5 linked regions of the Callithrix jacchus genome follow. The protein of the gene in region 3 interacts with the protein of the main gene of each other region in a pairwise test. Links are inferred from orthologs where the notes say so. Each region holds a gene or a part of one and is shown on either strand. Other genes may lie near its edges.

Region 1 (4,654 bases), on a different chromosome or scaffold from region 3:
ATCCTGAAAAGAAAGGAAACAGAAAAAACACCCAAGCAAAATGCCTAAGAAATACAGTAAGGACAATTTGGTCCCAATTTCCTTGAAAAATTAGAGCCACCAGGCAAACCTGTTTTGGGGTCCTCACATCTGTCCTCTTTTGGAGTTTGCTAAGTAGTACAGTTGAAGTGAATTTTTTGGTAACAAAAGTAAAAACTTCTAGAATAACTCCAGTAAATGGTGTTGATGTGACGTACAAGTTTGGAAATATTTAAGATCTAAGAGTCCTTAATGTTGGTGTTATTTCCTCCAGTGTAGAACAGACTTAATATTTTGATGGAAATCATAGAGTTCCGCAGAGATGAATAGAATCTCCAACCAGTGCATCTTGAAGCCAGTTGCCACGGCCACTCATGCACCTTCTCTCTGCCCACTCAGGAGAGAATTCTCAGCATCTGTGCTCAAAAAAATCTTTACTTTTAGTCCATCAGAGACTTCATGTTTGTTGTGCATACACACTCACACCTCTCCACACATATGCCCACCCCCTACACACATCCTGCTTCTGAGAAATGCAGCTAGAATTTCCCCCAGAGAAGAGATGGAAACCCCTGATGAAGAAATTTCAGGTCTAGGAAAGGTAAATGACTTTCCTTAAGTCACATAGTTCACCACAGAACGAAAACTAGAACCCAGATACCTTCAGCTCTTCTTCCAGTGCCTTCAGGTACACAAGTATTTGAACAGGATTCAAGGTTTAACTCCTATATGTCATTCACTGTATCCAGTGTAAGTAGAAGGTTGCCCTTAGAGCAGCCTTGAGAACTTCTCAGTGACTACAAACCTTTGGTTAGTTCTATACAAGGAAAGTCAGAGAAAGATCAGGTCATGACCAAACAACTTAATTTTTGAAAACAGCCGATTGCAAACTTGAATAATTGGGGCATGTATTTTATTGATTGTTTAACCTGTAAGGACAAATATTTTAAAATATAAATTCAAAACCCTTTTTTGCCACTTTTTGCAGCAGTCCCCTACAGGCTTTCTGAATCTGCTCTTTCTGAAATAGATGACTTCCAGAGCATTAAAAAAAGAAATAGACATTTTCTTGGTTCAATAGCTCAAATCTGCTTTCAGAGTGATTTTGTAATACTTAAACACATTTCATATGCACATAGTTTCATTTGTGATCTTAGAGGATGTCATCTAAAACTGAAAAGTTATTACCTGTGAAGGAGAACAAAGGAAAAGGAAAAAAAAATAAGAAAAACATGTTTTTTAAACCTGAAAAGTTACTTTATGTTCAAGTGAGTATTCTCAACCCTGAGTTGCCAAAATGACTTTTAATTGAAAGAAGGCCAAAAGTGTATTTCATTGAAAGCCAAGATAAACAGTAGATTTTGTATCATTTTAGAAACAACAAAAAGCTGGGCACGGTGGCTCACGCCTGTAATCCCAGCACTTTGGGAGGCCGAGGCAGGCGGATCACTTGAGGCTAGGAGTTGAAGACCAGCCTGGCCAATATGGCCTACTAAAAATACAAAACTAAAAATACAAAACTCTACTAAAAATACATCCCTACTAAAAATACAAAACTCAGCCGGGCATGGTGGTGGTGCCTGTAATCCCAGCTATTCAGGAGGCTGAGGCACAAGAATCGTTTGAACCTGGGAGGTGGAGGTTGCAATGAGCCCAGATAGTGCCACTGTACTTCAGCCTAGGTGACAGAACAAGACTCTGTCTCAAAAACAAACAAATAAACATAAAAATCAACAATGAAGACTCCCAAACAAGAGACATTGGGATTCCTGGCAGTCATAGGTTAGGTGTTATAGTATAAATTGAAGAGAAAGAAGACCGAAATTGATGAAATACCTTTGGTCTCAGAAGACAATTAAGATGAATAAAAGAACTTGAGAATACGTCCTCATTATTAAGCGTCTTCAGCTTTAAAGATTTTAATTAACAAAGCAAATTTACATAACGAAACAGTTTTCTGAACTGGGATGACATTCAGTGTAAGTTAGAACTCTCCAATTCAGCCACTTTTTCTGTTTTATTTGCAGCCATTCGTTATCTATGACATGAATTCCTTAATGATGGGAGAAGATAAAATCAAGTTCAAACACATCACCCCACTGCAGGAGCAGAGTAAAGAGGTGGCCATCCGCATCTTTCAGGGCTGCCAGTTCCGCTCTGTGGAGGCCGTGCAGGAGATCACAGAGTATGCCAAAAGCATTCCTGGTTTTGTAAATCTTGACTTGAATGACCAAGTAACTCTCCTCAAATATGGAGTCCACGAGATCATTTACACAATGCTGGCCTCCTTGATGAATAAAGATGGGGTTCTCATATCCGAAGGCCAGGGCTTCATGACAAGGGAGTTTCTAAAGAGCCTGCGAAAGCCTTTTGGTGACTTTATGGAGCCCAAGTTTGAGTTTGCTGTGAAGTTCAATGCACTGGAATTAGATGACAGTGACTTGGCAATATTTATTGCTGTCATTATTCTCAGTGGAGGTAAGATTTGTCTTTTGATCTTCTGTGAGAGAGGGTGGGAGGATGGTGGGATGGCCAAAATTTTGAATTTCCTTAGTATTAGTCTGCGTTCGTTGTCACATTAAGTGCCAATGGCATAATGCCATGAATCATCACTACACATGCAAAACACTGTACCAAGAAAGAATATCAAAGGTTTCTGCTATGAAGGCTATGGGTAACCCGGGATCTTCTCTTTCATCCCACACAATATATTTTTTTCCAGTCAAATGCCCTCTTCTTGTTTTCCTTTTTCCTTTGTTTCCTTCTTTCTTTCCAGAAAGGAAGATTAGAGGCCAGTCTAATCTCTGTTTCCTGTAAGTAATGACATATATAACTTTGCTTCAGACATTGTTGACTTGGCCTAGAGAAGGTACTACTAAGTGTTTCTGCTCGAATTATGCTCCTGCGCTATCATCAGTAAGATACTGTTTTGAATTGCTTTTCTGATATCAGAAATTAAGGAATACCTACTGACCTCCACCCACTCTCTTGTGTGGATTCCTCTGATGGCTCCCTTAAAGTACCTTTATGAAGTAGTTGGTTGTGATTAAGAATGCAATGTGAACCGAACACACAACATAGAGATAAACTGAGTTATTTAGCAATTTGTTGTATTTTTGGCCTTGGAAGTATATTATCTGACTAACCAGTTCCAAAAACCAGATTTCCTACTGAGTGTGACTTTTTTCTTTTCTTTTTTTGTTGTTTGTTTTTTGTGTGTGGGGCAAGGCCTCACTCTGTCACCCAGACTGGAGTGCAGTTGCATGATTATGGCTCGCTGCAGCTTCTAACTGCATTTAGTAAGCTATGATCATGCTACTTCATAGAAGTAATACATGGCCATTTTACAGTTCGGCTCAAGTGATCCTCCCACCTCAGCCTCCCAAGTAGCCAGGACTACAGGAGCACACCAGCATGCCCTGCTAATTTTTAAAAAATTTTTTTAGAGGTGAGGTCTCATTATGTTGCCCAGGCTGATCTCGAACTCCAGACCTCAAGCAATCTTTTTGCCTTGGTCTCCCAAAGTGCTGGGATTGTAGGCATAAGCCACTACACCCAACCTAAACCTTACTTTCATTAGCCTCTCATGAGGTTTTACTTTCATCTCTCTGTGTAAAAATTGTTTCTGAGTAGCGGGTTTTCCTGTTGAAGTGGACTTCATGTGAGCTTTTTATATGTACTCTACAGTGAATTCTCTGTTTCTGAAAAAGCCATCAGGGGATAGTGGTAAACTGTGTATAACTGCACACTGGATTATAAAGAGCATGATCACTGTGTGGTCTTTTGTTGTCCAGTTGAAAGGAGAATGTTTCTGAAATCATGTGCATAGTACAGTAGTCATAAGAATAGCAAACATTTATTTAGTACTTCTTGTGTGCCAGGCAGTGTTCTAAGCACCTCATGCATATTTATTCAACCCTTACAACAATTCAGGGAAGTAAGGGCCATTTTACAAATGAGGAAACCAAAGCACTGAGAGGTTTTCTCATTTGCCCGAGGTCACGTGTCTAGCAAAAGATGGATCCATGATTGTGAATCAGGCATGCTGGCTCAGACTCTATGCTGTTTACCATCACATCATGCAGAATACCGCCCTTTAAATGCCTAGGGAGCAAATAGATCACAATATGGTGTAGTTTACCTTTAGAGCCACAAGTCCAGGGTCAAATAACTACTTGATATTATATTTAATAGAACAAAAATATACTACCTGGCATGGTTTAATAGCTTGACCAAATCTACCTAAATTAATCCTTGACTCTGTAGTATATTTTATTAATTTGGCAAAAAAGGATGAGATTCCAGTATATAAGAGGTTTGCCAGAAGAAAAATATTAAATTTTGAAAAATTAGATTTGAAAAACAGTTTATATTACTTAGCTAGTATTTTATTTTACTTTTATTTTATTTTTTGAGATGGAGTCTTGCTCTTCTCGCAGTGGCGCGATCTCTGCTCACTACATCCAGGTTGTCTGCCTCCCAGGTTCAAGTGACTTCTGCGTCAGCCTCCCTAGTAGCTGGGATCACAGGCATGCACCACCACACCCAGCTAATTTTTGTATTTTTAGTAGAGCCAGGCTGGTCTCAAACTCCTGACCTCAGGTGATCCAATCACTTCCACCTCCCAAAGTGCTGG
Region 2 (4,654 bases), on a different chromosome or scaffold from region 3:
CCAGGATGGTCTCGATCTCCTGACCACATTATCCACCTACCTCAGCCTCCCAAAGTGCTGTGATTACAGGTGTGAGCCACTGCACCCAGCCTGGGTTTTCATATAGTTACATTTTCTCAGTCTTTCACTTTTTCTTTGTCCAGATCTTGTCTAAGAAATACTTCTCTACCTCAGGATCAAAAAGATACTCTCCAGTTGGGCATGGTGGCTCAGTCCTGTAATCCAGCACTTTGGGAAGCCAAGGCAGGTGGACTACCTGCTGTCAGGAGTTCAAGACCAGCCTGGCCAACATGGTGAAACCTCATCTCTACTAAAAACACAAAAATTAGCTGGGCATGGTGGCAGGCACCTGTAATCCCAGCTACTCGGGAGGCTGAGGCAGGAAAATCTCTTGAACCCAGGAGACAGTGGTTACAGTGAGTCAAGATGATGCCACTGCACACCAGCCTGGGCGACAGAGTAAGACTCTGTCTCAAAAAAAAAAAAATAATAATAATAATATTCCAGTATTTTCATCTAAAATCTCCAAGTTTTCTATTTCACATTTAGTCCTTTAAATCTTTCTGGGCTTCATTTTTGTGTTTGGTTTCTGGTAGCAATTCACTTTCCTCCATTTGGAAAACCAGAGGTCCCAGTACCATTTATTGACCTGCCCACCTCTTCCTGACCCGTCCTGCAAGGCCAGTTCCGTCATTGTCAAGGCTTGGGCTGTCCGCTGTGTTCCACTGGTCTCTGGGTGAAAATCATGCTGTCTTAATCACTTTAGTTTTTTAAAAAAAGGGTCTTGGCATCCAGTAAAGCAAGTTCCTCCACCTCACTCTTTCTCAAAACTATTTTGGCCATTTTTGGCACACCTTTAATCTTTCTCCTCTCCTTGAGTTTGCTCTAGCCTAGTACAAGCAATCGAATGGCAAGACTTCAAGTAAGCAGAAAAGAAAAAGCAAGCCAAAGCCAGCCCTGGATAATCCATAAGCTGAATATTTGCCTCCTCATAACTAAGACATTTCTGTGTAGTAAAAAGTATAGAAAGCCCCTATATTAATAAAAGTAGAGTATGTGTTTATAAAAAACAAAAGCATTTTGTAAAAATCTTTTCCAGGCTATAGCAAGGACCATTTAAAAATAGAAACTGGAGCCCATCCACTGGTCAGTACCAAGGTTCTTGCCTTTTTTTTTAAAAATACAACTTTTAAATATATTTTTTGCATACAGATAGTCACAGAGGTTTTTGAAACAGTGCTAAAACTGTATGTTTTTGCCTAGAACACTCAGAACATCCAAATCGAAGGTCAGACTGTCACTAGAACATGCTAATTCCATCAGAGCAGGGTCTAAGAATGAAGTGATCTTTCTCTTGTTCAAGGGAGACTGTATTTTCCTGCTCTCAGCGACATTTCTGTAGCCTCATGATTGCTGCTTGGTGTTCTACAGTGTCTCCAGATCCAGACTTTCTTGTATGGACCGCAGGACAAAAAGACTCTGGCCACCCAGCAGGCCATGGGCATCCTGTCCACGTGAGTTGGCTTCCCTCACACTTTCTCTGCGTATCGCATTCCCTTTCCATTCAGAATCTCAAGAGGAAGCTGCTTCTAGAAGGTTCTATGGTTCTGCCCAGGTATTTAGAAATAATTTGTCCTTTAAGTCAGAAATATATGCTGGATGTTGTCCTCCTGCAGACAGCCCCTTGCAGGCTAAGGCACCCGCTGCAGGGGGTGGGCCCCAGAACTCCTGTGGCCTCCTGCAGCCCTGTTTCCAGCTTCCCTCTGCCCTCGGATGCCTGTCAGAACTGGAGCTGGAGAGTTCACTGACTTGACCTTGAAGGCTGCCCCCCATGTTCTTTCTGAGCCTCAGCAGAGGCCCAGCAATCTCCTGTGGAGGGCCCACCTCACAAAGCCTGGTCCACAGGGAGCATCCCTAGGGCTACCTGAGTCTATGCTCAAGGAAACAGGGCCACAGCCTGCAGCAGAGACTGAACGTGGCCAGCAGGGCAACATACCCTTTGAGGACAGGAAGGTGAGCCAGGGAGGCCTCCTGCCCAGCCCTGACCATCCTTCTCACCCATGGCCTCCTCACCAAGCCAGCTAAGGATTGACTGCCTCAGCTCAGTGAGGATGGTCACAGGGGATTTTAAAAGATGGGAGGGGCCAGGTGAGGTGGCTCATGCCTGTAATCACAGCACTTTGGGAGGCCGAGGCAGTGGATCACTTGAGGCCAGGAGTTTGAGATCAGACTAGCCAACACAGCAAAACCTCGTCTCTACTAAAAATACAAAAATCAGCCAGGCAAGGTGACATGTGCCTAATCCCAGCTACTCAGGAGGCGCAGGCAGGAGAATCACTTGAACCCAGGAGGTGAAGGTTGCAGGGAGCTGAGACTGGGCCCCTGTACTCCAGCTTGGGTGACAGAGTGATACTCGTCTGAAAAAAAAATTAATAAAAAATAAAACATGGGAATAAAACATCTAATGTTCTATGCTCTCATGCCACAATTATCCTCTCATTTATAGCCCCTCCTGAGGCTTCTCCTAGATGGGTCTGGACCTGCTGGGCAGCAACGGCTGGATGGGAACAGTGTGGGGGCTGAGGGGCACCACACTCACCCCACCCTCTGCTTGTCTGCAGGGCTCCCGAGATTGCTGTGAAGCCAAGGCAGGCATCAAAAGGCAAAGTGGCCTTCTGCACCAGCATCCCTCAGGACACCATGCTGAGGAAGGCCCGGCCCAGCACAGCAGCAGACTGAGGCCCCCACCCTGAAAAAGCCTAGGACATTCCTGGGCACTGCCAATCAGGGTGCTGTACACATCTGTCTCCACCTAGAAGATGGAATTCAATAGTCAGGATACAGACTTTCAAGGCCAACTGTTGGCTCCAACATGCAACAGTGAGACCAAAAGCCTCCTGTGGGCCACACTGTGAACAGTGGATGCCCTTCAGGGTGATATATGCTAGAAAGCATTTTTCTTTTAATCACCTAAGTGTTTTTTCTTGCCAACAAGAATTTTTGGCCATCAGCACTACTGTGGCTGAAACCTCTCTTCAGAAGTTCAGAGCGGCCTCTGCAGGAGTCAGCCTGGATCTACTGGTACACACAAATCCTTGCATAGGTCTGGAGTCAGATCTGGAACACTAAACTCAGGAAGAAGCCCTTTCTCATAGGAGGTTAACAGGGATCAAGAATAACATGGGAAGAAAATGCTAATAAAGGGAAACTCTAATGCGCTGGTATCGGCATGTGTTTTCAAAGTGCAGCCTGCCTCAGAGTTCCTTGGAGCCTGAAAGGGGGTCAGAGACAGCTCCCTTTATGTGTGTCCTTGGTCACTCTTTGAACTGTGTCGAGCACCTGGTATGTACGTGGCATGTGCTAAGAACGGGGGGCACGGCAATAGACAAGACAGTCACAGCCCGGCACAGCACCAGGAATTAGTGCTGTGGGATTGGTAGGCAGCAGGGGCAGCACCCGTGAGAGCAAAAGAGCAGAGTGGGAGGGGCAGGAGGCCAATGCACCGGACTCGGTGCACCTAACTAAGCCTGGGCCAGGAGGCAGGTGTAAGGGACTGAAAAGAAAGGCCAGCAGGACGCTGCAGGAGGGTGGCACTGATTCCCTGCTGCTTCACATCCTGTCTGGCCTCTACTCCAGGCAGGACAAATCCGGATGCCACCTGGAGCTGCTTCCTGAGTTGACACACTGTCGTGTGCACAGAAGTCTTCAGCTCCCTGGAGGGAGGCCTTAGTCATGTGAGGCTGGCCAAGTCTAACAGGAAGATTTGAGCATGTTTTCCACAATGTCAAAGATGAGATCCAGTGCCAGATTGAGATGGATGGAGCACCCAGAAGTAGGGATGCAGGTGTGGGCAATGCCGTCCCTTCTCTTCCCTCCCCTCATCCCACAGACGGTGGCCAGTGAGGCTGTAGGCTGGTACTAGGATGGCAGCAGATTGCAGCACAGGGGGCTGTCCCTCCAGCTCCCTCTGGGACATCTAAACCATCCTGGGGCCATCTGTGCAGGGCCCCACCTCAAGAATTGAGGGGGAAAATAAACTCAATAGAGTCACAACAGGGTAGAAAAAAGCAGGCTCCATGTCTTCCTCAGAAGCGTGACACCTGACCCTACAGACCATCCTTGCTGGTACATGCTGGTCCCAGATCCTGGGCCTGCAGGACATCAGCAGTGTGCTAAAAAGGTGTAAGATGTGGTCACTACTCATCATGTGTCCTATCTAAGTTGACACGGGCGGAGTCTGCTATGGGCTGAATGTTTGTGTGCCTCCAGTTCATGTTGAAGCCCTAATCCCCAAAGGGATGATATTAGGAGGTGGGGCCTTGGAGAGGTGATTAGGTCATGAGAGTGGAGCCCTGATGAGTATGATTAGTGCTTTATAAGAAGAGACACAAGAGAGATGATCTCTCTCTCCACCGTGTGAGGACACAGAAAGAAGGCAGCCATCTGCAGGCCAGGAAGAGAGCCCTCACCGGGAAGCGAATCTGTTGGCACCTTGAGACTTCCCAGCCTCCAGAACTGTAAGAAATAAATGTCTCTCAGGTTATGGCTCCCTGTTAGAGCAGCCTGAACTGAGAGTCCATGCTGGGTTTTTTAATAAATGTGCATCCTGATGTTACTTCTTCCTTTCCGTATTTCTTGAAAGGTATCTTGGAAT
Region 3 (4,654 bases):
GAGGCAGTAGTTATAATGCCTGTGTTCACTGTCCCGTGATGAGTTGGAAATAGGTTATCAGCTTTATCTCAGCAAAATCAAAGCGTGTCGTCTAATTGCTAAATAAGAGCTGACAAATCTGAAAGACACTACTGAATCCTTGGCATGCAGGAGTTGTATCTGCATCCTGTGGCCATTTTATCTCCTTGCAGCATTTAATCAGTTACATTTGCAGAGTCTCTGAGAAGCCTTTATCAGAGATCCTTACATCTCCTGTGTGAGTGTTTCCGTGACTGCAAAACCAGTTAAACTTTTATCCTTTTTCTTCTCTGGGTTGGGGAAGATTGTGTTTGTGAGAGGGAGAGAGACAGCAGAGAAGGAGGATATAATTACTATGCTGTATACTTTGAGCTAAAACTGCCAAAACACACACATGCACATGCACATGCACACACACAGATAATTATGCTTTGATTTCAGTCTTAAGAGTACCTTGATGGTATTTGTAAATGGGATTGGGCACAGTTTGGCGGACAGTCAGTTTGGGATGATATTTCAGTCTGTAGGGCCAAGCTATTTTACAATTTGCATTTTGAAGTTGTCACTCTCCTAGCAGATGGTGGGAGATAAACTATTACTTCTTAACCTCAGACTTAGTCTTCGGTCCAGATGAGGAAGATTAAAAGATTATAAATATCTTGCACCAGATGAGGTGATTTTATCTTGAAATGACCATAAATTCGTATCAGTTGTTTCACCGGGATATTTGTGGTGGAGTTTGTACACTTGAGTTTTAGGATAGATGATCTGTTTTACATTTATTAAGAATGCCTTTATACCACGTATTGCCTGTTGCAATGTTTTGAGTATATTCCAGAAGTGAAATTTCTGGGAAATAATAATAGAATACAAACTGTGACTTGAAAGTCAACTAGGGCCTGCATTTGTATCATGATCTGTTTGAGTGTTGGTGAGAAAACAGCTGTAAAGAAAAAGTTTTAAACAAGTTGCGTTTTCCTTTAAGAAGCCACTAAGCGTGAGTCCTTTTAGTGTATATTTCTAGACTCCTAGTTTGCGGAGTTTAGACTAAGACTAAAAAAAAAAAAATTGTGTTGTAACTTCATTTTTGTTTGTATTTTAGACACCAAAGGCTCTATTCCCTGCTGGACAGGTTTCGTCTCTCCACCCTGCAAGACTCACTCAGTCCCTCTCCTCCAGTCTCTTCCCACCCGCTGGACGGGGATGGGCACGTGTCACTGGAAACAGTGAGTCCAGACAAAGTAAGTGTCCAGCCTGTCTGCATGGGAGGTACAGGGCACATGCAGGGTGGTGCTGAGTGCCACTGTCACCTCTAGCAGATAGAGAGTGTGCAGAGGAGGTACAGTGAACCCAAGGAGTCTGGGGCTCGGCCCGAGCCAGCTTTGGTTAGAGATGTGGGGCACCACTAAGGTCCTAGGATGTGGGACCCATATGTTAGGAGTATGGGGCCCAGTAGTTAGTGGGTGAATCAAGGGAAGGTTGGCCAGGGCCTGCAGGATTCTGACTGCACAGGCCTTCAAGCACCTGTCAGTGCGTTTAGCCTGCCTCCATTTCCTTACGCCTTCTGGCCTCCTGTCAGTTGCACCACCACTGCCAGCCATTCTGGCATGTTGTCAGCACCTCCACTGCTCACACTCAGGGTTACTTAGGGACTGCCTGGAGCCTTGGTAGAGCCTTGGTACTCTACTTTCCTGGAGAGAGTTCAGCTTATGAATGTGAATTTAGATTTCAAAAACCCGCAGCCCAAGTATAGGAAAGCGAATGTTCAGTCCTGCCTTCTTAGGCTTTGTTGCACCTGCCCTGCCCTGGTTGCTGGGGAGAGACGAGCAAAGCAAAGCCCAGGGAGGATGTAAAGGGGCTGCTAACCCTTAGTGCTTTAGCTGTATTTGGAAGGACTGTTGGAAGTTCACGAGGTGACAGGGAGACTGCAAGGGTGCTCAGGCAGGTAACGGAAGTCCAAAGGTGGTGTGGGTAACGGAAGTCCAAAGGTGGTATGGCTCCCCACATAAAGCTGTATTTGGAAGGACTGTTGGAAGTTCACGAGGTGACAGGGAGACTGCAAGGGTGCTCAGGCAGGTAACGGAAGTCCAAAGGTGGTATGGCTCCCCACACCTGTGGTGTGGGGACCCATAGGGCCACAGCATGCTGGCTGTTGTCCCTCTTGGTTAGCCCAGTGCAGTGTTCCCAAGCACTGGCCTAGGCCCGTAGCTCCAGGAATGTGAAGACCCCTTGAATGCCGCCCATCATGTTCCCTGTATCCATTTTTTCTTCTCAGGACTGGTACATCCATCTTGTCAAATCCCAGTGTTGGACCAGGTCAGACTCTGCACTGCTGGAAGGTGCAGAGTTGGTGAATCGGATTCCTGCTGAAGATATGAGTGCCTTCATGATGAACTCGGTACGGGGGGGAGCAGCGGAGGCAAGGAATCCTCAACTTTTACTTGTGACTTCCAAGTGGGATTTGTCTCATCATCATGACCCACTTGTTGACAACACCTGCTGGGGACTCCACTCTGGCTATGGACAGGAGGCTGGGGAGACTCCTGTCTGAATGGGGCTGGGAAGTGGGGAGGACTCGATTTCAGATGGGGCTGGGACGTGGGGGATATGCTGATCCAGATAGGAAAGCACATTATTTCAGCCATGTTAGAATCCAAGAAGGCAAGTTGATTTCACTCAACCTTTCATGCATTTAAAGAAAATGTAGATGGTGGCCAGGTGTGGTGGCTTATGCCTGTAATCTCAGCACTTTGGGAGTCCAAGGCGGGCGGATCACCTGAGGTCAGGAGTTCGAAACCAGCCTGACCAACATGGAGAAACTCCATCTCTACTAAAAATACAAAAATTAGCTGGGCATGGTGGTGCATGCCTGTAATCCCAGCTACTCGGGAGGCTGAGGCAGGAGAATTGCTTGAACCCAGGAGGCAGAGGTTGCGGTGAGCCGAGATTGTGCCACTGCACTCCAGCCTGGGCAACAAAAGCGAAACTCCGTCTCAGAAAAAAAAAAAAAGGAGGTGATCTTGTATTATAGTCAGTTTGCTTCTTTGTTCTCATGGCAGTGAGGAAGGGTTTTGGATTGTTGTCTGAGGTCGAGAATATGAGGGAATGAAGTGTGGCCCTGGGCACTCCGATTGGCATCTGTGGTGGGGAATATGAGCGGCAGGGGAGCAGGGTAGAAACTGGATGGCAATTGGAAGCAGGCAACTGTGGAATTTGAAACAAGTTGATGGGAACCCTCTCTCAAGAGGAGGTACTGTTTTGAAATTCAGCTGGCCCCAAGGCTGGGTGTATGGTTTAGGATGAGAACTATTTGGCCTCCACCAGAGGAACAAACACGGGATTTTATCACCTACACTCATTGGCCAACACAGAATGGAAGTCAAGGTTGCATATTTGCCATAGACTTTGACACAACATCATGCATGCCTTCAATAGCATGTTTATTCTGGAAGTTAAAGGAGACTCTTGGATGCAGTGAGATTTCCTCTACCCATACCTCTGTTAGATGTAGTGAGGTTCTTCACCTCCCAATCCCAGATGTCAGAGGGCACCCTGTGCAGAGCCAGCCCAGGAGGCCTTGGTGTCCCTGTACTCCAAGCCCATGGACAGGTCCTGTGAGCAGCAGGGGCCTGCCTCTTGCGTGTGGTGCAGCTGTGGCCCGAGCAGGGTTTCCTCTCGGACCTGCTGGGACGGGAGAAACTTCCTGGTGTGTTAGCCCTGCGTCGATAAGCAGCAAATGGGAGGGAAGTGGGCACCTGGGAGGGCAAAGGCATGTAGAGCTGGGGGTGGCTGCAGGTGTTCATGAAAAGACCTTTCAGGGAACGCAGCACAACAGGGTGTTCTGACGCATTGAAGAGCTATACTGAAAACAGGAGAACTCGCCCAAAATTGGTTTGCTAAAATCGTTTAAGATTCATGCAGTGAAAGCTGACTTATGAGTGATGAGTTTGCTTAGTGATTGGCTTACTAGGTTTTTCAGGTTTGCTCTTTGGACTTGAACAGCTATAGAAGTTCTGTCTGTAGAAGAAAGCTTCAGCTTTTGGCATTAATTATGCTTCTCTGAGTATTAAACTTAAGATTGATGTTTTACCTGAAAAACTGGCCCCCAATCCTGAAATGGCTAAACAAAAAGTTGGGAAAACATAATACAGATTGTCGTAGGAAATACCATTTTTCCAACCAAAATTGTGGCATTCACATGGCTGCTTTTACTTATTTCAGCTACATTTGAACAACTTTCTCAAGCTTCAGGAATTACTGGTGTATCACTGATGTCTTAGATGACACTTTTGCTTTTATTTAGATTTTCTGTTTTATGAATTAAAATTGTCATACCAAAATTTTTATTTCAAGCAAATCCAAGAGCATTAAAAATTAAAATACCAAAAGAGAATAGAAATACATTTTACTAAACATATGTTCAATGGAATTGTTCAAACATTTATAATAGGCATAGAATAGACTATTCTTAAAAGTAGTTCTGATGGGTGTACTAATCTGTATTTTCTTAGAAACATTTGCCTTATCCTTTTTTCTGTTGTATTTTTCTTGCCTGGTTGAAAGCTCATAATCTGTTGTTACTGTTTAACCTTTAATGCTCTGATTTCAGGAGTTCAACATAAGCCTATTAGCTCCA
Region 4 (4,654 bases), on a different chromosome or scaffold from region 3:
TCGAGAGATTGAGACCATCTGGCAAACATGGTGAAACCCCATCTCTACTAAAAATACAAATATTAGCTGGATGTGGTGGTGTTTGCCTGTAGTACCAGCTACTCAGGAGGCTGAGGCAGGAGAATCACTTGAAGCTGGAAGGCGGAGATTGCAGTGAGCCAAGATTGCGCCACTGCACTCCAGCCTGGTGACAGAGCAAGACTCTGTTCAAAAAAAAAAAGGAAAAAAAAAATCTAATATTTTACCGACTCTAATGTCAACCTATATAGCTTTCATCCTGGCCTCCACATGTGTTTGTTGACTGACATAATCTGTTCTTCAGGTATCTTTAAAATGAGGAGGCCTGAGGACCTCATCTCAACACCTACAGCCTGGTACCTGGTTTTGCCCTCGACCAGAGCCTCCCAGGACTTATTCACCCGACAGATAACACAGGGCATTCCTGATAGGTGCCACGCCTCTTCTTGTGTGGGGACGTAGTGAGCAGAGGAGACAAAGCAAAGACCTCTGCCCACGGTGACAAGGGCAGAAGTTCTTTGCTTGGGATCAGAGTTACACATCAGGTTGGGTGGCTGCCTGTCAGCAGCTCAAATGCTGTGCATTCTGCTTCATCAAGTGAGAGGATTACTCTTATTACTTAACAAGTGGCATGTTCTTGGTGCTGAAAATCATCCTGATGCACATGCCATGCACAGCGAGTGTTGGGTGTTCCCACTGTTGGACACACATCCACCCGTCGAGCATTGCCACAGACCTGTCACAGGGGCAGCTGTGTGTGTGCTACATGGGGGAATAGGTCCCTCCTCGGCATGCTTGCAAGAAGTCAGCGAGATGACACACAGGAGGCATCTGGCCCATGGGGCTCAGGGCTTGGGGTGTTGAGGGCCAGAAAGGAGTCTGCACTCCTCTGCAAAGGTCCTGGAGCTTCCTGCAGCCTTCCCCTTCCCCTTTGTCCACAGGCTGGATTCACTCCCCACTGAGATTTGGGGTTTTCAGTTTTAAATATTTAATGTTTTGCTAATTATAAAAGTTGTATGTGTTCACTGGGAACATTTGGAAAACTGAGGTTTTATAGAGTGCCCAGTGGTGTCCTGCCCCAGCCCCAAGCAGTGTTCCTAAACAGACTTCCTTCTTCTCCATCTTAGGAAGATCCTAGTACCTCCCCCTCTCCGGGGACCCGAGCAGCCAGCCAGCCACCTAACTCCTCAGGTGAGATGGCGCCCCCACTGACCTCATGTATGAAGCAAACAGGGCAAGGGGGCATGTGAGGCATGAGGTCTCAGAGTGGGGGGAGCACCCTTCAAAGAGGACTCTCTGATCCAGCCTCCTCAGTTTGCCTGAGCAGAGAGCCAGGCCACACAGAGGGAAGCCCAGTTCTTATGAGTCCCCCAGAGCATCCCCCAGGAATCCATGCAGGAGCATAGGAAGTGCTAGAACAGAGTCACCGTCATGGGTCCCCAGAGTGGCCTACGCGGCACCTCATTTCCCACCAGGACCCTGAGTTCCGCATGAGGGAAGGCACTTGCCTGATGGCACATATTCAGGGTGGGGGTTTGTGTCCAGGGCTCCTGAGTGCAGGCCGGGGCCAGTGGTCTTAAGAGGGTCAGCGTCAGGACTCATGTCTCCCATGAAACGCCAGCTGGTGACTAGCGTTACAGATATGGCAGTGGATCTTGCTTCACCGAAATGCAGCTCCTTCCCTGGCTCAGGTTTCCCGTCAGAGCTGTGGCAGGTGGGAAGGAGGAAGGAGAGAATGATGAGGTGACAAGGGCAGAGGTTCTCTACATAAGCCTTAAGAGGAAGTGGGAGGAAGACCCCAGGGTTGGTTGTTCATTCAACAGACATTGGCGCAGCACCTGCTCTGTGCCAGGCCTGTGCTCATGAGCATGGCAAGGAGAGGCAGGGGCGTCAGGCTGCCCAAGCTGGGCATGGGAGGCGCTTGCCAGCTGTTCATGTGTCTCTCTGGGGCATGCTCAGGTTGAGTGTCACCTCACTGTGAGACTGTACACCGTGTCCTCTCCTCCTAGGACTTTTGCCTGGCAGGTCGATTTGCCATGATGCATAGGTTCTTGGCTGATGAACGTGAACAATGCCCCTGCCCTGTTTGCTTCTTACAGCAGCCCAGTGAGTGGGCTATGTGTTTGCATCTGTATGATAAGTGGTTTGCTCAAGGCCACACACCTGGGACGGGTCTGTGGCCCCAGGTCTAGTGCCTGCAGTCCCAGCACCTGTCCCAGAAGGTGACTTTGAGGAAAACTACCTCAGTCCCACAGTTGGTCTGCAGGGTACCACAGCCAGGCAGCTTCCCCACTACCACTAGAGATTTTGTCTTCTGTCTCTGCTCATCCTGCAAAGTCAGCAAATTCAACTTAATGCAACAAATCTTTTGGAGTAGGCCAAAATATAATCCAATACCACTTACCTTGAAAAAGAAAAGACAAGCCAGCTGAATGGGACAGAGCCAGGCACAGCATGGGGGCCAGCTAAGGAGCCCGTCAGCAGCAGGTGCTGGGCCTCGGGTCCTGGCTGCACAGCTCATGGGAGCAAGGCTGCATTGGGAGTGTCTGGGGAGGTCCTGCCTGCTTCCCCTTCAGCCCCGTTCGCTGGGTTGCTTACCAGCAGGCCCACGTTCCAGAGAAACCTGACCACAGTGAAAGGACTCAGAACGAGGTCACAGGTCAGGGTCAACCAGGTCAAGGGAACAGGAGCTTGAGTCCTGGAGTAGGGGAGACACAGGGTGACGACAGTGGTGCCATCTAAAGCCCTCAGGGGGCTGGCCTAGGCCATGGGGGACTGAGAACAAGAAGCCAGGTTTTGGCTCTGCTCAAATTAGACCTTCTTGCCATGGGGCTCTGCACCCTCAGCATTGGGGAGAGCTTCCTTTTGGATGTTGAGGGGATTAGGGTGGCTCCTGAGTCCTCTCAGGTCTAAAGTTCTTCATCCATGAACCGAATTGACAGAGACTGGCCGGAAGCCCTGGGAGCGGAGCAACTCGGTGGAGAAGCCTGTATCCTCGATTCTGTCCAGGTGAGTGGCCCAGAAGGCCTGAGCAGCAAGGCTGGGGTGGGCAGAGGCGGGTGCTGGCGCCGATTCACATGTCTGTTTCATTCCATGCTGTAGAACCCCGTCTGTGGCAAAGAGCCCCGAAGCTAAGAGCCCCCTTCAGTTGCAGCCTCACTCTAGGTACTGAACAACCCTCCTGCTCACGTGTTCTCCAGGGTTGGGGCTCCTCTGTCCCCTGTCCTGTGACTAACACCTTGCACCCTGTCTCATGTCTTGGCATTTAACAGCTTGCTCTGGGAAGGTGATCTGTTCTTTCAGACCCAGGACCTCAGGGTCCTGTCAGTCAGCTCCTCCTCCTCCCTCTGAGGGAGAGACCGAGGCCCGGGGAGGGCAGTGACCTGTCCACAGATCCAGTGCAGGGGGCTGACTTGGAGTCTCAGCTCTGGACTCACTACATGTGACAGTGAGCAAGTTAGGGGAACTCTCCAGGCCTCTTTTTCCCCCTCCCCCCACAAAACAGGTCGGTGAATCCCTGCTGCACAGGGCAGTAGTGGGGACAGCTGTGCAAACAACAGCTGGACATGGTCACTAGGCGTGGCTGCAGCCAGCAGCTCAGCTAGTCCTAGGACTGGCCCTGAGCCCCACACCCTCTCCTCCAGCCCACAGTCCTTCCTCTGCGTCCAGCACAGAGCCAGTTTCCCCCAGACATGCTGACCATATTTCCCAAACCAAAAGCTGGCATGACAGCACGATAGAATATTTGGAACTGAGGTTGCCCAAAAAGGTGCAGGCAGCCACATCGTATCTGGAGGCCCACGTGGCCTGAATGTGAAGCCCTCTAGAACCTGCATCAAGAAATGTCTCCATTGCCACCAGAAGTTGAAGGGAACCCACCCTTGTCACAGAGGAGGAGGCACTGAAACTGGCCTTGCGGAGCGAAACGGGTGACAAGCCGAGCAAGCCCTGGCCTGTCCCTGGCAGAAATGGCCAAGACCAGGGCAGGGGGACAGAGATGAGGAAGTCTTAGCAGTCAGCTGGGGTTTGTCAAAGGCTTGTGGCCAGCCAGGCCGTGTGCTGGGGACAGTCCCTGCCTGCCAAGATCACATGAGAACAAGGCCCCTGTGGTCCTGAGGGGTGCTCCAGCAAGGGTGTGGGGCCACGTGGTGGAAGGGACAGGGTGCTTTGGGGAGTGGGGCAGGGCAGGCCTCCGTTGGGAGCTGGCATTTCATTGACCTGGACGAGGAGGAGCCTGCTGTTCGGAGAGCATGGGGACAGCCTTCCAAGCTGAAGGAAGGGTAAGTGCCAGGGCCCTGAGCCTGCAGCCACCTGCCAAGTTCTCCCACACCTCGCACCTCGGAGCAGACAGCAGGCCATGGGGCATGGGAACGGGAAGGGTGAGGAAGAGGGTGTGAGGGAGCACGGAATTAAAAGTTTGCATTGGATTCATGTGCAGGACTCCAGCCAGGGAGCTTGAGGCACAGGATGCCATGATGGGAGCTGGGAAGGGGAAGGCAACCAGAGTGGGCAAAGCGAGGGTCCTGGAGCAGACATGGCAGCCGGAGGATCCTGTAGTGCTCCCGGCCGTGGTCTGCTGATGGAGTGAAGGCGGGCTGCAGTGTTCTCTGAGGGGCCAAGGGTCGCTCAATGGGCA
Region 5 (4,654 bases), on a different chromosome or scaffold from region 3:
GAGGAATGCCTAAAGTGGACACAGTACCGAGCATGAATTAAGGAATAAGTAGCTTATAATTGGAGGAATGTCTAGAGTAAACACAGTGCAGAGCATGATTTAAGGGAAAAACAGTTATACCAGGACAAGAATCCATAGCCCAGGCGGCAGCGTTCAGTATTGTAACGATACCCGCTCTATGGCAGGCTTGCGGCGAGAGCCACTCCTCCTGATAAGGAGTTGTAGGACCTTGCTCCAGTTCTCGTGGAAGGCTGCCCTCCGAACGGCAATCCACCTTGGTATGCGCTTTATCAGCTCTTGCTACTATGCTGCTCAAAAAGCATCTTCCTATAAAACTCACTGGAAACTGCCAGAAGGTGGCGGTAACCTTAACAGCTCTGTCACTGCTATGTGACTTAAAATATCCTCCTATAAATCATCTTAAAAGTAGTTTGCCCATAGATAAAAGTATTGCACACTGCACCCTCTTCACTGTGCATGACCCACCTTCAAGCCTCGGTGACCTGATGGGGCTGGACCCCTTACTGCACCCGGCCCTTGCCCCTTCATGGGAACGGGCCCCTTGCTGCGAACTGTCCACCTCCTGGCCTAGGTGACCTAATGGGGGTGGACTCCATGTTCTGTTGCTCGTGACCCTATCACTATCCTTAAAGATGATTTCACTCACTGCCCTGCCCCCTAACCTATACACAATAAATACTCATGCTTCGGGACATTGGGGCCTCGCCTAACTCTGCTTACAGGTGGCATGGCCCCCTAAGCCCAGCTGCGTTTTCCTTGTACTTCTGTGTCCTGTCTCTTTATTTCTCAGATCCTGCGTCTCAGCACAGCATAAGGGACACCCCACGACCGTGTGGGGCCATCAGCCCTACATGGAACTGGATGATCCGGGTCAATCCTCCATAAAGCATTTATTCCTGCCACACTTAAGATGCAGTATGTTGTTAGCACCCAAAGATTTCAAGCTAATCTTTCAAAATATATCTAAAACTAAAAATAAATCAAGCCAAGTACAAGCACAGGGGCTCATGCCTATAATCCCAGCACTCTGGGAGGCTGGGAGGGAGGATCAGTTGAGCCCAGGAGTTCCAGACCAGCCTGGCCAACAAAGTAAGGCCCTGTCTTTACCAAGAATAAAAATTAATTAATTAAAAATGTAGCATCGTGCACCAAAATCTCAGAAACCACCACTAAATAACTTATTCATGTAACCAAATACCACCTGTACCCCAATAACTTGTGGAAAAATAAAGAAAAAAAATGTAGCATCCATTCACTCTAGCTTATTCCAATTTAACGACCTTTCAGGTTGGTAGGAATATATATAAAAAGTGGTCTTAGCCAAGGGAAACTTGCCCAGTTTCTACTTCTCATGAAAACTCCAAGTCTACAAAATGGCACAGAAGGGGATTCTTCAGAACTCTTATGCTCATTTATTTTTTTTAATTTTTTTAAATTTTATTTTAGGTAGAATCTCACTCATCACCAGGCTGGCGTGCAGTGGCGCGATCTTGGCTCACTGCAGCCTCCGCGTCCCAGGTTCAGGTGATTCTCCTGCCTCAGCTGCCTGAGTATCTAGGATTACAGGCACGCACCATCACACCCAGCTAATTTTCGTATTTTTAGTAGCGATGGGGTTTCACCATGTTGGCCAAGCTGGTCTCACACTCCCGACCTCGTGATCTGCCCACCTCAGCCTCCCAAAGTGCTGGGATTACAGGTGTGAGCCACTGCGCCCGGCCAGTTATTTAATTGGAAGTACTTTAGGAAACATGGAAGAAGCTTGTTTTAATCATTGTAAATCATCCCGTCAGTACTTTACCAAGGAAAACTGAAACAGCAAAACCTAATTCAGTCACCTCCCCAAAGTTGGAAGCTGTGCTCCAGTGTGATGTGAAGTTCCCCTGCACAGCCCCAGTGAAATGTGGAGCTCACCAAGTCAACAAGCCCGTTAAGAGAGGCAAGCAGGTCAACTTCATCAGAAGCATTGGTTCCCTGACGCAGCCCCCAAGTCCATCCGCCATGTGAACGACCAACCCTCATTTACTAACTAGTGTCACACCCTTGTATCATCAGGCACCAGGAGTATATCCAGGTGAGATTAATATATAAGTAACTAAAAAGCAAAGGGAGAATGTGGTGAGACCTACAATAAACGACTGGGGCCAAAGAAGAAAGGAAGATAAGGAAACAAGCTAATAACTAATTCTGGGGGGGCCCTTGGAGGCTCTCGGTAAGTAGACATGGACAGAGGGCCGAGGGGGAGAGTGGAAATATAGAACAGAAGGTTGGGAGGCTGTTTCTGCACGGGCAGAGGCAACTACTTCATGGCCAAGTTTGGCCTTATCATGGAAGGAAACATCCACTCGGTAGAATGGGGGAGCAGTAGAGTTCCTCTTACAGTGTCTGAACACCAGATAGCGCTTCATTCTCCACGTGGAGGCCACCATGATCAGAGCAAGAGAACACAAACTCACAGAACGCCTGAGAAATGGTGCCCTCACCTACTGGAGCCATTCTATCCAGCAACACCCAGAACACTGGTGGGCGGCAGGGAAACCACAGGTCCCATGGAGCTATTTAAACTTCAAGTATTTAAAAGTGTAAAATTCAGTTCCTCGGGCACACTAGCCACACTTCAAATGTGAGCAGGCCGTGGCTACCCTAAAGGACAGACAGCAAACATTTCCACCATTGCAGAAAATTCAGTTGGACAGAGCTGGTTAGACAACGGATCATTAGGTCAGAAGAGTCTTGTGGAACTTACTTTAAAGTAAAAACTACTTTCAGAGGTAAGAAAACTATACTCTTTAAAAAAAATTTTAGAATTTTAACTTTAATATAGTTTGGCCAGACCTTCCCACAATGAACGTAAGTAACACTGATAAGATATATTTACTGAACGTGAATGCATGTTCTCTTAAAAATAAATAAAAATAAACCGTCTACTGCAATGTGAACACAAGGGGGCACTGTGAGTCACTCTAAAAGCTCCCGAAAGACACCATCACAGAACTAGACTACCTCTTCTCTCAGCGTGAGCAGCTGGCGCCGTCTGCAAACTCCTGAAGGCTGTGCTCACAACCCCGCCCTTACAGGATTGTGCAGGCTTTTCAGAACCAAAGAAAAAGCCACCCTTCCCCCTCCACCAGGAGTTCTCATGACACCCTCTCACCCAAAGGCAGCTCCAGGTGTGTTTCCTAACCACAGGGTCTGGTGTGCCCAATGCCCTACCTGCCCTGGTGCTTACCTGTGTGAGTGCGAAGATGAGCCTTGAGGTGGGAACTTTTGAAGTAGGTCTTCCGGCAACCTGGGAAGGTGCAAACGTAGTTCCTCCTTCGGGAAAAGTCTACCTGAGGGACACAGCTTTGGCTAGAGGCGATGAACACTGGCGCAGGGGCGAGGGGCAACAACTTGGTATTCCCCGAAGCCAAAACACTGGCCGAACTGGGGGCAGGCGGAGGGAGGGCGCCCTGGGGCAGGACCAGCATCACAGCTCCCTGAGGCACAGGAGGTCCCAGGAATACAGGTTGTGGAGCTGGAGCAGCCTGGGCTAGGATGGGTCTCACAGTCCCCACAGACAACTGGGGAGGCGGCTTCAAAAAAGCTGAGAACATGCCACTCTGTCCAGTCACAGGGATCATTTGGCAAAGGACAGGGGGAGCAGAAGCAGGGACAGAAATCAGAGGGGTGGTTTTCCTGGGCAGGTCATTTTCGTAATTCTTTGGTGAGCAAGTCTGCACTGCACCAGGCCACCCTGCCTGCTGGCCTCCATCAGTGGGGAGCAGGCCACCAGGCTTGTGCAAGCAAGGCTGACAGGACACCGCGTTAGTGCTGAGTAAACAGTCTGTGAGGCGTGCATCCTGCAAAGTTTCAAAGGGTCCCAAAAGTTGCTCTTCTTCTCTGCTGTCAGAAAGCTGGCCATCTGGAGTCTGGGTGGTGGGAAAGCAGGCAGGAGCAGGGCTCTCCCCAGTGTGTCGGATCACGCTGGTCCCCACGGCCCTGCAGAGAGAGCTGGGCACTGGCTCCAAACCCGGCAGGCCCCTCTCCACCGCCCCATTCAGTGCTCTGGCCACCACAGCAGAGGACTGGAGGGCGGCCATGGCTGTGCATGCTTTGGAATCTGTTACTTGGGAAGAAACAGGTGTCCTTGTCGATGGCTCCATGAGATCGGGGCTCTGAGGAGGAGTTATGCACTTAAAAAAAAAAAAAAGTACCACGTGAAAAGGCTGCTTTAAATTTTAAAAGGGATTTAATTGATCACAATGCTCCCAATACCTTTACATAGAATCATCTAGAGACTCAGCTAAGCCTGTTTTCAATGCCCCAGTGGGTTTCAAGGCTGCATGGGGCACTTTACTTTCTCAGCTTTTTCCCAGTGTTCACCCCTCCCAGATCTGCCCAAGGGCCCAATGCCAGGGAACTCTGAGGAGCTCCTGGCCAGCAGGCCCACCGCTTCCACAACCCCTGATGCCCCACAAGGCCCTCCCACCCCTCTCCAAATCTGCTTTCTACACTCTTCTTTCAGATAAGCTTCCAGCCCAGGACAACCACAATTTCCACTTCTGTTAGCAGCCTACAGTTCTCAACTTCTCCAAGCTGATATGCTATTTTTCCAAATGCTTTCACAGATATTAGCAAGTTAAAAAACCAA

Evidence for each region. The genes of interacting proteins can lie anywhere in the genome.
Region 1: the proteins of HTT (region 3) and PPARG interact in binary tests that used the Homo sapiens proteins (3 or more experiments, as listed by UniProt). The link is inferred for Callithrix jacchus from reciprocal best matches to the Homo sapiens genes HTT and PPARG.
Region 2: the proteins of HTT (region 3) and TTC23 interact in binary tests that used the Homo sapiens proteins (3 or more experiments, as listed by UniProt). The link is inferred for Callithrix jacchus from reciprocal best matches to the Homo sapiens genes HTT and TTC23.
Region 4: the proteins of HTT (region 3) and EVL interact in binary tests that used the Homo sapiens proteins (3 or more experiments, as listed by UniProt). The link is inferred for Callithrix jacchus from reciprocal best matches to the Homo sapiens genes HTT and EVL.
Region 5: the proteins of HTT (region 3) and KLF11 interact in binary tests that used the Homo sapiens proteins (3 or more experiments, as listed by UniProt). The link is inferred for Callithrix jacchus from reciprocal best matches to the Homo sapiens genes HTT and KLF11.

Annotation. Positions count from the first base shown.
Region 1 is NC_133516.1:69,578,902-69,583,555, forward strand, and holds part of PPARG (peroxisome proliferator-activated receptor gamma), read left to right. Parts: intron 1-2,045; coding exon 2,046-2,496; intron 2,497-4,654. UniProt on the Homo sapiens protein: Nuclear receptor that binds peroxisome proliferators such as hypolipidemic drugs and fatty acids.
Region 2 is NC_133507.1:10,514,071-10,518,724, forward strand, and holds the end of TTC23 (tetratricopeptide repeat protein 23), read left to right. Parts: intron 1-1,431; coding exon 1,432-1,514; intron 1,515-2,621; coding exon 2,622-2,739; 3' UTR 2,740-4,615; downstream 4,616-4,654. UniProt on the Homo sapiens protein: Participates positively in the ciliary Hedgehog (Hh) signaling.
Region 3 is NC_133504.1:189,944,809-189,949,462, reverse strand, and holds part of HTT (huntingtin), read left to right. Parts: intron 1-1,120; coding exon 1,121-1,259; intron 1,260-2,293; coding exon 2,294-2,416; intron 2,417-4,627; coding exon 4,628-4,654.
Region 4 is NC_133509.1:135,052,662-135,057,315, forward strand, and holds part of EVL (ena/VASP-like protein), read left to right. Parts: intron 1-1,145; coding exon 1,146-1,209; intron 1,210-2,960; coding exon 2,961-3,027; intron 3,028-3,120; coding exon 3,121-3,183; exon of another isoform or gene 3,184-4,298; intron 4,299-4,654. UniProt on the Homo sapiens protein: Ena/VASP proteins are actin-associated proteins involved in a range of processes dependent on cytoskeleton remodeling and cell polarity such as axon guidance and lamellipodial and filopodial dynamics in migrating cells.
Region 5 is NC_133515.1:104,935,136-104,939,789, forward strand, and holds part of KLF11 (Krueppel-like factor 11), read right to left. Parts: intron 4,197-4,654; coding exon 3,251-4,196; intron 1-3,250. UniProt on the Homo sapiens protein: Transcription factor. Activates the epsilon- and gamma-globin gene promoters and, to a much lower degree, the beta-globin gene and represses promoters containing SP1-like binding inhibiting cell growth.